Linked DNA regions of Oryzias latipes. The protein of the gene in region 3 interacts with the protein of the main gene of each other region in a pairwise test. Links are inferred from orthologs where the notes say so. Each region holds a gene or a part of one and is shown on either strand. Other genes may lie near its edges. The genes, in order: ptpn3, g2e3 and wdr6.

Evidence for each region.
Region 1: the proteins of wdr6 (region 3) and ptpn3 interact in binary tests that used the Homo sapiens proteins (3 or more experiments, as listed by UniProt). The two-hybrid records come from large-scale screens. The link is inferred for Oryzias latipes from reciprocal best matches to the Homo sapiens genes WDR6 and PTPN3.
Region 2: the proteins of wdr6 (region 3) and g2e3 interact in a two-hybrid assay, tested with the Homo sapiens proteins (2 studies listed by BioGRID and IntAct). The two-hybrid records come from large-scale screens. The link is inferred for Oryzias latipes from reciprocal best matches to the Homo sapiens genes WDR6 and G2E3.

Annotation. Positions count from the first base shown.
Region 1 is NC_019874.2:17,810,112-17,812,879, reverse strand, and holds part of ptpn3 (tyrosine-protein phosphatase non-receptor type 3), read left to right. Parts: intron 1-606; coding exon 607-735; intron 736-2,490; coding exon 2,491-2,633; intron 2,634-2,732; coding exon 2,733-2,768.
Region 2 is NC_019880.2:2,557,009-2,560,769, forward strand, and holds the start of g2e3 (G2/M phase-specific E3 ubiquitin-protein ligase), read left to right. Parts: upstream 1-1,054; 5' UTR 1,055-2,543; intron 2,544-3,298; 5' UTR 3,299-3,315; coding exon 3,316-3,364; intron 3,365-3,761. Other genes in the region: EH domain-containing protein 4, read right to left, coding at 390-619. UniProt on the Homo sapiens protein: E3 ubiquitin-protein ligase which accepts ubiquitin from an E2 ubiquitin-conjugating enzyme in the form of a thioester and then directly transfers the ubiquitin to targeted substrates. Essential in early embryonic development to prevent apoptotic death.
Region 3 is NC_019865.2:6,740,138-6,742,915, forward strand, and holds the end of wdr6 (WD repeat-containing protein 6), read left to right. Parts: intron 1-117; coding exon 118-234; intron 235-1,173; coding exon 1,174-2,218; 3' UTR 2,219-2,278; downstream 2,279-2,778. UniProt on the Homo sapiens protein: Together with methyltransferase FTSJ1, methylates the 2'-O-ribose of nucleotides at position 34 of the tRNA anticodon loop of substrate tRNAs. Required for the correct positioning of the substrate tRNA for methylation.

The DNA.
Region 1 (2,768 bases), on a different chromosome or scaffold from region 3:
GATGGGAAATGAGTAAACAATAAGGGAAACACTTGAACTCGCTCAGCTCGATTTCAGCGGCGCAGTAACTGATTACTGCAGCATGACCTGCGCATTATTACGATACGTCATGTTTGACTTGATACAAGATTATAGTAATTAGGAGTTTCACTGGGGATGTTTGCACACAAAAATGATTGATTAGCTCTTGTGTCAGTAATTACACGGTTTCAGTGTGTGAGAGCTGGATTCCAATGAGGAAAAAATGTTTTATTGGTATAAATGCATCCTTACGGAGGCTGCAAGATACCAAGGTCTTGCTGAATGTCTGTGCCTCAGCTTGCCTGTTGCTTAGTAACCAGATGTTCTCATTAATTGATCATTTTTTCTGATAATTCACCTTGCTCCATCCATAAAGACATGGTAGACTCTCATTTGTAATGTATAGATCACGACTCTAGACCCCGGTGCTGCATCTGACGAACAGGTCTTGTTCCTCAGGTTGTTAAATATGGGTTGATCTGCTCCAAGTTGAGTTGAGCTGAGCTGCTGTGAAGCGACTGCAGTAAACTGTATCCTGAAGACCGTCAATACTGTGATATGTTGTTTGCGCCACACGCTCCACAGACCAAGTGCCACCAGTACTGGCCACACCCACCGAAAGCGAAGGATTACGGGCACATGTCAGTGGAGTGTCACTCGGAGGAGTGTAACCTGGCTTATGTGACACGACGGTTCACCCTGAAACACACTCAGGTAAGCTATAGCAATGAGATTATGTGTCGCCTCCTAAATGAACCTGCAGCTGATCGATATCTATACATTAGTGTGCCTTTGAGCAAAAATATGACCCTTGCCACACGCTCAATTATTCTCCAAAACACTCACCCACATGCCATCAGGTTATGTCTATAACCACAACTGAAGTTTTGCTAACCTTTGACCTCAGAAAAAGGCCGCCATCTTGAATTTTCTATAGAAAAACACCTTTAGTACCAGTTTCATATTTAAACCCCTCCTAGAGATTGTGCATTTTTTAACTGAAATATTGTGAAAATGTAATGCATGAATCCCTGGCACAAGCTGATAATATGATAAAACATACGATGTGACTATACAAGTATTGTGGGCGTGGTTAACAAAAACCGCCGTTGCCAAGGAAATCCAAAAGTTTACTTTTGCTGGTTGTTCTAAAAATTGTATAGATCTGTTCATCACCCCCAGGTGACCCAAACATAAAATGGTTGCTGTGGAGATAAAACCAATAGAAACATCGCTATTTTGAGGAAAAAAAAACAACAGTATAATTTCATGAATTTGTCACAAGCAGTTCTGACCAGAGTGGCAGAATAATAATAATAATAATGAATTTTATTTCTATGGCGCCATTCTGGGCACCCAAAGTCACCTTACAGGTACAAACAATCAGAAAAAACAGTTACAAGAATAAAACAGTAGTTAAAAGTAAAAAAAATAAACAATAGAATCATAAATCAATTAGGGTGGATATGCAAGTCTGTAGAAGTGGGTTTTGAGAGGTTTTGCAACCTGAGGAAGAGTAAGAGACCTTGGCGGGTGGCAAGGGCAGGTAGCTCCTACAAGCCATACAACGCTGTCCGCGGCTTTGATTATTATTACTTTCTTGTCATTTATTTTGAAATCTGTCTCAGTTTACAGTTTATTTTATTATGTTTAAGTATTTTGAAATCAATTAAAGTTTCCAGCTGATTTCATGTCCATTTAAGGCGAGACCACAGACACACAATGCATTGCTTTTCTGCATTGTATGTTGCCACGGCATGTAGCATGTTTACACCATATGCCACACAACGGATCTCACCGCAGGCAGCAGCCCCTCCTGGCAAATTAACTACATCCAGCATTCAGTCACTTCCGCTGGGTTTTGTCTGCACGTGTGTGTGCGTCAAGTGTCGCTGTGTGGAGGTGTATAGGGGGCAGGTGTGTCAGGGTGTCTGGGACTTTTTATTTATTTGTTAAACTGTGTCATGGTAGGTAATCAGATTAAAAGCCCCGGCCTCTATGCCGAACAGGTAAAGAAGCAGAGAATGCTCAAGGAGGCATGAAGTATGAACGCATGCACATGCATACAAAGATACCGCCGCGCTGGCCCATCTGTTCCTCTCATGGAGCGATAATCCCTGCATGGAGTCACAGGCTACATGCCCGTTAGAAACTCTGAAGTCAGCCATTCTCCCAGCAGCCTTAAACTCCGGTCTTTTCCTCCATTCTCTCTCCTTTTGTTTTTATCTCTGGGTTTCATAATCTCTCTGTCACCTACTGATGGCATGGATGTCTAGCTCTGTTGTTCCAACCTCCTGCCTGGTTTTCAGCCCTTCTATGTGTGAAACAACATCCGTGTTTAAGCCTTTAGTGCTGCAGTGTCTCATGTGGGTAATTAACCCAACAGTAACACATTCATAATGATTATGCAACACTTTAACTATCCTGGCTTTCTGCTTCTCTTTTTTTATTTGCATGTTTGATTTGCAGTTGGGTGATGAGCGTGCGATCACACACCTGCAGTATGTGGCGTGGCCGGACCACGGCGTGCCCGATGACCCGTCAGACTTCCTGCAGTTTGTCAGCTCTGTAAGAGAGACGAGGGACAAGGAGCCGCTAATGGTCCACTGCAGGTAACATGGCGTTTAAAAGATTGATTTGGAAAAGAATCACTAGTGTCCTTCCTGCCAACTTTTGTTAAACGTAATGTGTGTTTGAAATTATATTATCAGTGCTGGTATTGGACGAACCGGCGTCCTGATCATCAT
Region 2 (3,761 bases), on a different chromosome or scaffold from region 3:
AAAAGTGATTGAAAGTAGATAAATGGAGCAGCCATGAGGTCATGCTGTGGTTCCTGTGAGAACTGCAGGCCACATGAGGAAAGCAGACAAGGTGATGTCATGTTATTTCAACACCACAGAACTCTGGCACAGAGCATGCCAGGAATAGTCCTATGGTGCAGGGACACACATGTTCATGCAGCTACAGTGACGACATAGTCATGACCTTCATGTCTCTGACCCCAAACCTGATCTCAATCAGCTGATAAATGCGTTTAGCCTTGACCTAGAATTTTACTCCCAACTAAAAATTCTAAAAGGTCACCAGGCTCTCCAAAGGTCAGTGATTCTGCAAGAACACTGGCTCTCTACTCGGACTTGTTGATTTGGCCTAGTTGGAGAGGTCCTACCTGATGAAGGTGGTCTTCCCGGTGGAGTACTGGCCCACCAGCAGCACCATGGGCTTGCTCTGGAAGTCCGCGGGCTCCAACGCCGGCGAGTGGAAGTCATGGAAGAGGTATGTCTCCTCCAGCGGCAGCAGCTTCTTGCTGTAGAGCGTCTGCAGCCCCTCCGTCACGGTCTGGTACATCTCTCCCTCCTTGTTGTGGCTGCCGTGCTCCTGCTTCACCCAGCTGAACATTGTGACGCCGCGCGCTCCAGAGCTCGAGCCCAACTTCCCGTTTTTCTCGGCGTGTACGCGTGCGCCCGTGTGGGATGGCTGACTCCGCGCGCTCTGAGTCTGGCCGTCGTCGCTGAGGTGGTGTACCTGCGGGCACCGCCCTTCCCGGTGACGCTGCGCTTCCTCCGCAGTCAGTCACCACCGGCGCGCCCCGCGGGAGCAGTCCACGGCCACTGCCGCGCCCAGGGCCCCGGGCTGCAGGTCTGCGGGAGCCGAAGGCGCTCCTGGATCAGAACCGCGTCGTTCTGACCGGAGATCATCTGCGCGCATCCCCGGCAGCTGCGCAGCAGATGTCATCCATGACGGTCAGCTGATGCTGCGACGCGGATGTTTGCAGTGAACAAACAAACCCAAACTGGACCAAAGCACCCGCTTCAAGCAGAACCAAACCACGAGAACAAACAGAATTGAATTCTATTACATTCCGGTGTGAATGCGCGTCTAAGCCGATTTTCAGAGCTTTCTTTTGGACTTTGAGCTGACTAAACTCTGCAGGAGCAACACCTCAGTCAGAACAGAACTCACCTGGTTCGGATTAACTATTCTCCTGATGATTTATAATTTCAATTTAGGAAAAGACCAGAAAATCCAACAGATTTGACAACAAGAGGAGAAAACTTCCCTCAATTTATTTAGAAAAATACACAAATTCCCCAGAATTTTACCCATATGAATAAAGTCTTTGTAAACGGACTGTGTTCTTTCATTGAAATGTTCTCTGATGGTTTCTCATTAGTGTGACGGAAGTTCACGTTTTTTTAGAAATCACACACAATTTCTATTGCTTCTAAATATATTAACACATATTTGCTTTGTTTTTTGTTGTTGTTTTTAAACACAATCTGACACCTACCTGTTGCTTTGGAATTTTCTTGACACCCCAAGGACGTTTTTCTCTTTGTCGTGGGCAGATGGCGCCACCTACAGTTAAGAAGCGTCTGTTGGAATTTTAGGAGCCTATTTACACTTTGTTTCTATGTCAACACGCTTTTAACAGAACAATACATGTGTTGTAACCTGAAGAGTAAAAAACAAACAAACAACAACACTCTATATAGGCCTATAAGTGCAATCTAATGTTTAACTAGCTATTTTTATTTAGTTTGATTTAACAGTGCAAATTGTTCACAAGCTTTTCCACAGATAACCTTCTTCCAAGAAATCCATTAAATGCAATCAAACACAAAGCATAAATTTTTTTAAATAATTTTTTAAACGGTTTATTACTTTAAAAAACTGTGTTACATCTATTTGTAGTCAAGACTCTAAAAAACGTTTAAACTTTAAATTGGAATGGAAACATGTAGCCTAAATAAGCTTTAAACTTGTGAGACAAGGTGACTAAATGAGGTTAATGTGTTTTTATGTGGAGCAAAAGTAAAAAAGTTCTTACATATTTTGCATGAAATAAAGCGTAGGTCTATTTATACTGCATGTGTAAAATTGTCTCTTGTTTGTCTCTTGTTGTAAAATTGTCTATTGTCTCAAGCTTTATTCTTGTACTTTTTGTATTAATCGATAGTTCAACTATTCTGCTTTGGTTGACAAATAAATGCCTTTTAAAATAATGTTGTTGTTTTTTTGTTTGTTTTGGTTCATTTCCGTTTTTTAATCTTCCCATTTTTTCCCATAACTTTACTTTATTAATCTAAATAAGTAAGAGATTATGTACACTCTTTGGTTAGACCGCCCTCATGTGTCGGTGCCATTGAATAGCCGGGAAACGTCACTTCCGTTTGGGGTACGAGAAACGGAAGTGAGGTTCTTTTGTTTTGAAAGAGGAAAATTCAAAATCGGACGTCGTTAAAGTAAACACAAAAATGAACGGACTACCTTTATTTTACTTGAAATGAGCAGCGAGTGATTTCTTCGACAATAGATGTAAGTAGGTTGGAGAAACAAACTTTTTTCCGGGTTTTCTTTTGTTCTTTTTCGATATTTGACATTCAAACTCGCATGTTTTTGGAATTTAGTAAGAACGCCATGAGTGGTGCTCTGTTAAAGTTATATATAAAAACACGATTTTAACAGTTTAAATTTGTGTCAGCATATTCAACACAACACATTTATATCACATAGTAAAGAAAAACTGTGAGGCTAAGGCTGAAAAAACAAACAAACAATATTTAAACAGGTTTGACGATCAGGTTAAACTTAAATTAGCATAATAGAAAGCTGTCATTGTGTATCCTAAAAAAAAAAAAAAAACAGAACAGAAGTAATAAAATGAACAAATAAATGTGTTAATATTTCAAAAATAAAAAGCATAATATCATAAGATAAGGTTATTTTTAAAGTTTTGTTGGTAAAGTATAATAAAACTAAACCATATGTGCAGCAGTAAGAAATAATTTATTATTATGTATTTTTTCAAACAAAAACTGTACAATTTTAGGTAAGAATTTACAATATGATTGTTGAAATTCACAGTTTTTGCATTAAATTCCTAACTTTTTCTTTTGCCAGAAGTTTCTCTTAATCAGATAAAATTGACGATGGATTAAAAAAAAAGAACATTAAGTTTAAACAAATGATGCTTTTAAAACTGTGAGTCAAATGTGAATCCGTTCAGTATTTGGTCGGTGATTCCAGCTGTTGTTTCTGCTCAGTCATGTGATCCGTGTCCTTTTCCTCCAACAGACTGAGTTGGTTTGAGGATGAGGAAGAAGACGAGGGGGCCGAAGGCGACCACTGTCCTGCAGGACTGTGAGTGACACACTTAAAAAAACTAACAAAAAAACTTTATTTATACAGACGAGGCCTATCAAGACCGCATTCTTCTTTTTGAGGATAATCTGTTCATGCCCACACAATTCATGTCTGCCAGATTTGTTTGTAGGATTTGCATTGATTTAATCTTTAAATTGACATAACAACTGCAACGTTTTTAGTTTGGGTTCAGCCGATGAATAATGAATAAAGCTCATTTTTAAGAATACTGCAGACATGATTATGAGTGAAATCTAAATTCCCCCAAATTAAATGATTATTTTTTATATTATCTAGTTTCAATAATTATTTAATTCTTATTTATCAAGTAAAAGATATACGCGACGGCTTTCCAAACACTGACTCTGTTTTTCTTTTATTGGCGCCTCAGAAT
Region 3 (2,778 bases):
TGTTTAGATTTACATAAAGTTGAGTTTGGAGGCACAGAATAGTGCAGGACTGGAAACGTATATTGCAATTTAAAAAGTTAAAATATATTTGAGATTTACTCTTGTGTGCTTTTGCAGATTGTTTTCAGTAACTGAGTCAAAGAATCATATTGAGCTGCTGTGGGAGACGTGTCATCACCAGCGCTGTGTGCTCAGTGTCGCCACCTGCAGCCTGGAAGCTGTCAAAAATGACAGGTGAGTGGAAGCTTTTACAATTTTATACAACCTTGTATTTTGTTTTTGTTTTTTATAATTAATTCTATGACTCAATGGGTAATTATTATAGAAAAAGCTACTGTTTCCATTTACATAGCAAAGTTAGTTATTAAGTGGTAGTGAGTTGTGAAAATTATTGATTCATTATTAAATGACTCCAATACCTAGGAAGGTTTTTTTTTTCTTCCACAGAATGAATGAAATGTAAAGTGAAGAGATTAAAATTAGTGCTGGTTCTTTTAGTCCTCTGTGGGATTCTTGTGTTTGGGCTTCAGGTGTGAACACAAAATATCATGGCAATAAAACTCTTTTAGCTGTTATGAATCAAAAAAGACAATGAAGAATTCACGATGAAGTTGTTGATGTTGTTGATGATGATGTTTATTCAACCGTTTGTGAGTTTTGTCTCTGTTTTGTATTTTATTTTTTTATGAGTTGTAAAGTTTTGAGTTTGAAAATAGTTTGAAAATACAAATAAAAAAAAACTATTTTGGGAATAAAATACTGAAACAAATCGTCAAACCAGATGTTTTCCCTTGTTTAGTGGATTAAAATGTTTGAATAAAATATTGATTAGATATAAGTTAACAGTTTTTTTATTAGAAACATTTGACAAAGGATGAACCTTTTTTGTTTGCTTTTTTCCTACTGGTAGCTGAAAATAACAGTTTTTCATCATCAACAATTCTAATGAATAAAGTGTTTATAAATCTTTTGTAACAATATCTGGTTTTACATCGTTCAAAACTTGAGCTTTTTTATTTTTTCAATGACTTAAGAAGAAAACATTGCATTAATTCTAATGGTAAATTGTTGAATGTATTGTTTATATCAAAGTACTGATGTTTGAAGTCTGTATGACAGTTGATAACAAATGCGTACAGAGTTTCTCTTTGTCACGCCAATCTTCTCTCACAGGTACAAACTGCTGTTCAGTGCCGCCACAGATGGGAAAATTGCTGTTTGGCATTTAACTGGAGTTCTATCAACTGATATTTCAAGTGGTGCTACAAATCCACCAGCTCCCTGCCTCGATATTCCCGCCCACCAGAGTGGCGTCAACTCATTGGTTGTTTGGGTGGAGAAACTGGGAAAAGAAGGAGGCAGTTGCCAGGTAACTGTTGCTAGTGGAGGGGATGATGGACAGCTGACAGTGTCCACAATTAGGGTGCAGTTCCCAGGAAATGGGAAGGCTGGGGGCAGCAGAGTGTTTTCTGAGATTTCTCATTGCCAAAGCTCAGTAGAAGAACTCCAAATAGACCACAACCAGCTTCAGCTTCATCTCCTGACTCAACGCCGGATCCCACTGGCTCACGCCGCTCCTCTGACCTCCCTGAAGCTTTTGAGGACAGGCCTGCTGGTTTCCACTTCCTCAGATCAGAGGGTTTGCCTTTGGAAGGTCAGCGATGTCGGTATCAGCCACAGTGGGGCGCTGTGCTCCCACGTTGCAGATGCTGCAGCCATGGCAGTGTGGGAGGGGGAGAAAGAAGATGCAATTAGTGCGACGGGATCCGAGTCTGAGCTTGTAAATGCACTTAGTAGAAAAGAAGAGGGCCAGATGCAGCCGGAGACAAAGACGGAGAGAACTGAGGGTGGGTGGATTAGCGACGGTGAGGAAGCAGCTGGCGAACAGGAACTTGGACAACCTGCTGTAGCAGTGAAGGAGACAATCAACCCAGTTTGCAAGAATGCTGTTGACAAGGAAGAGCCCTCGACACATCACTCAAGATTAAAAACTCTGACTGACAGCTCAGGTGAAACGGTTAATGGAACAAACACTAAACGGTGCTTGAAGGTTTCCCCTGAGAGCCAAACAGGGATCATCAAAGAGGGATGGGTGCTGGTCTGCGGGCAAGGACTTCAGCTCCTGCAGGTGAGAAGTTTAGCGATGGATGGATGGAGAGAGAACCGGGATAAGAGTAACCGCAGCATCAAAGTGACTCTTCAAAAACAGCCAACATAATTGGACTATATGTTTTTTATAAAAATTAATTTGAATAAAGTGTCTCAATCTGTAAACTTTCATGACTTTGCTCTTCTTTGCCTTTGGAAGGCCGCCACAGCGAATCCCCCACTTCTTTTCCTCTGCATCCTCCTCACTCACACCAACCTCCCTCGTGTCCTCCTCATCTACATCCATGAACCTCCTCTGGTAACCTCAGCATCCCTTTACCTTCATCATCACGGTCCATCTCAATCTGCTTCCCTGCATTTATCTCCATAACATCTACCGTAAGCTGTTACTCTCATGCATTTTTTTGGATCCTTTCCATCCTCTTCACTCTCAAAGAGATCCTCACCATCTTCAGCTCTGCCTCTAAAACCACAGCATGGCTGCTCACACCACAGTCTTCTACACCTTTCCTTTCATTCTTGCTGACATTCCTTTATCACAGCTGAAACCTTCCTTTACCCAACCTTCTCACACATGCAACTTGTTCTGGACTATAAAAACTTAAAGTCCTCCACCTTCTTCAGCTCTGATCCCTGTAACCTCACTGTTCCACTTGATTCCTTCTCATG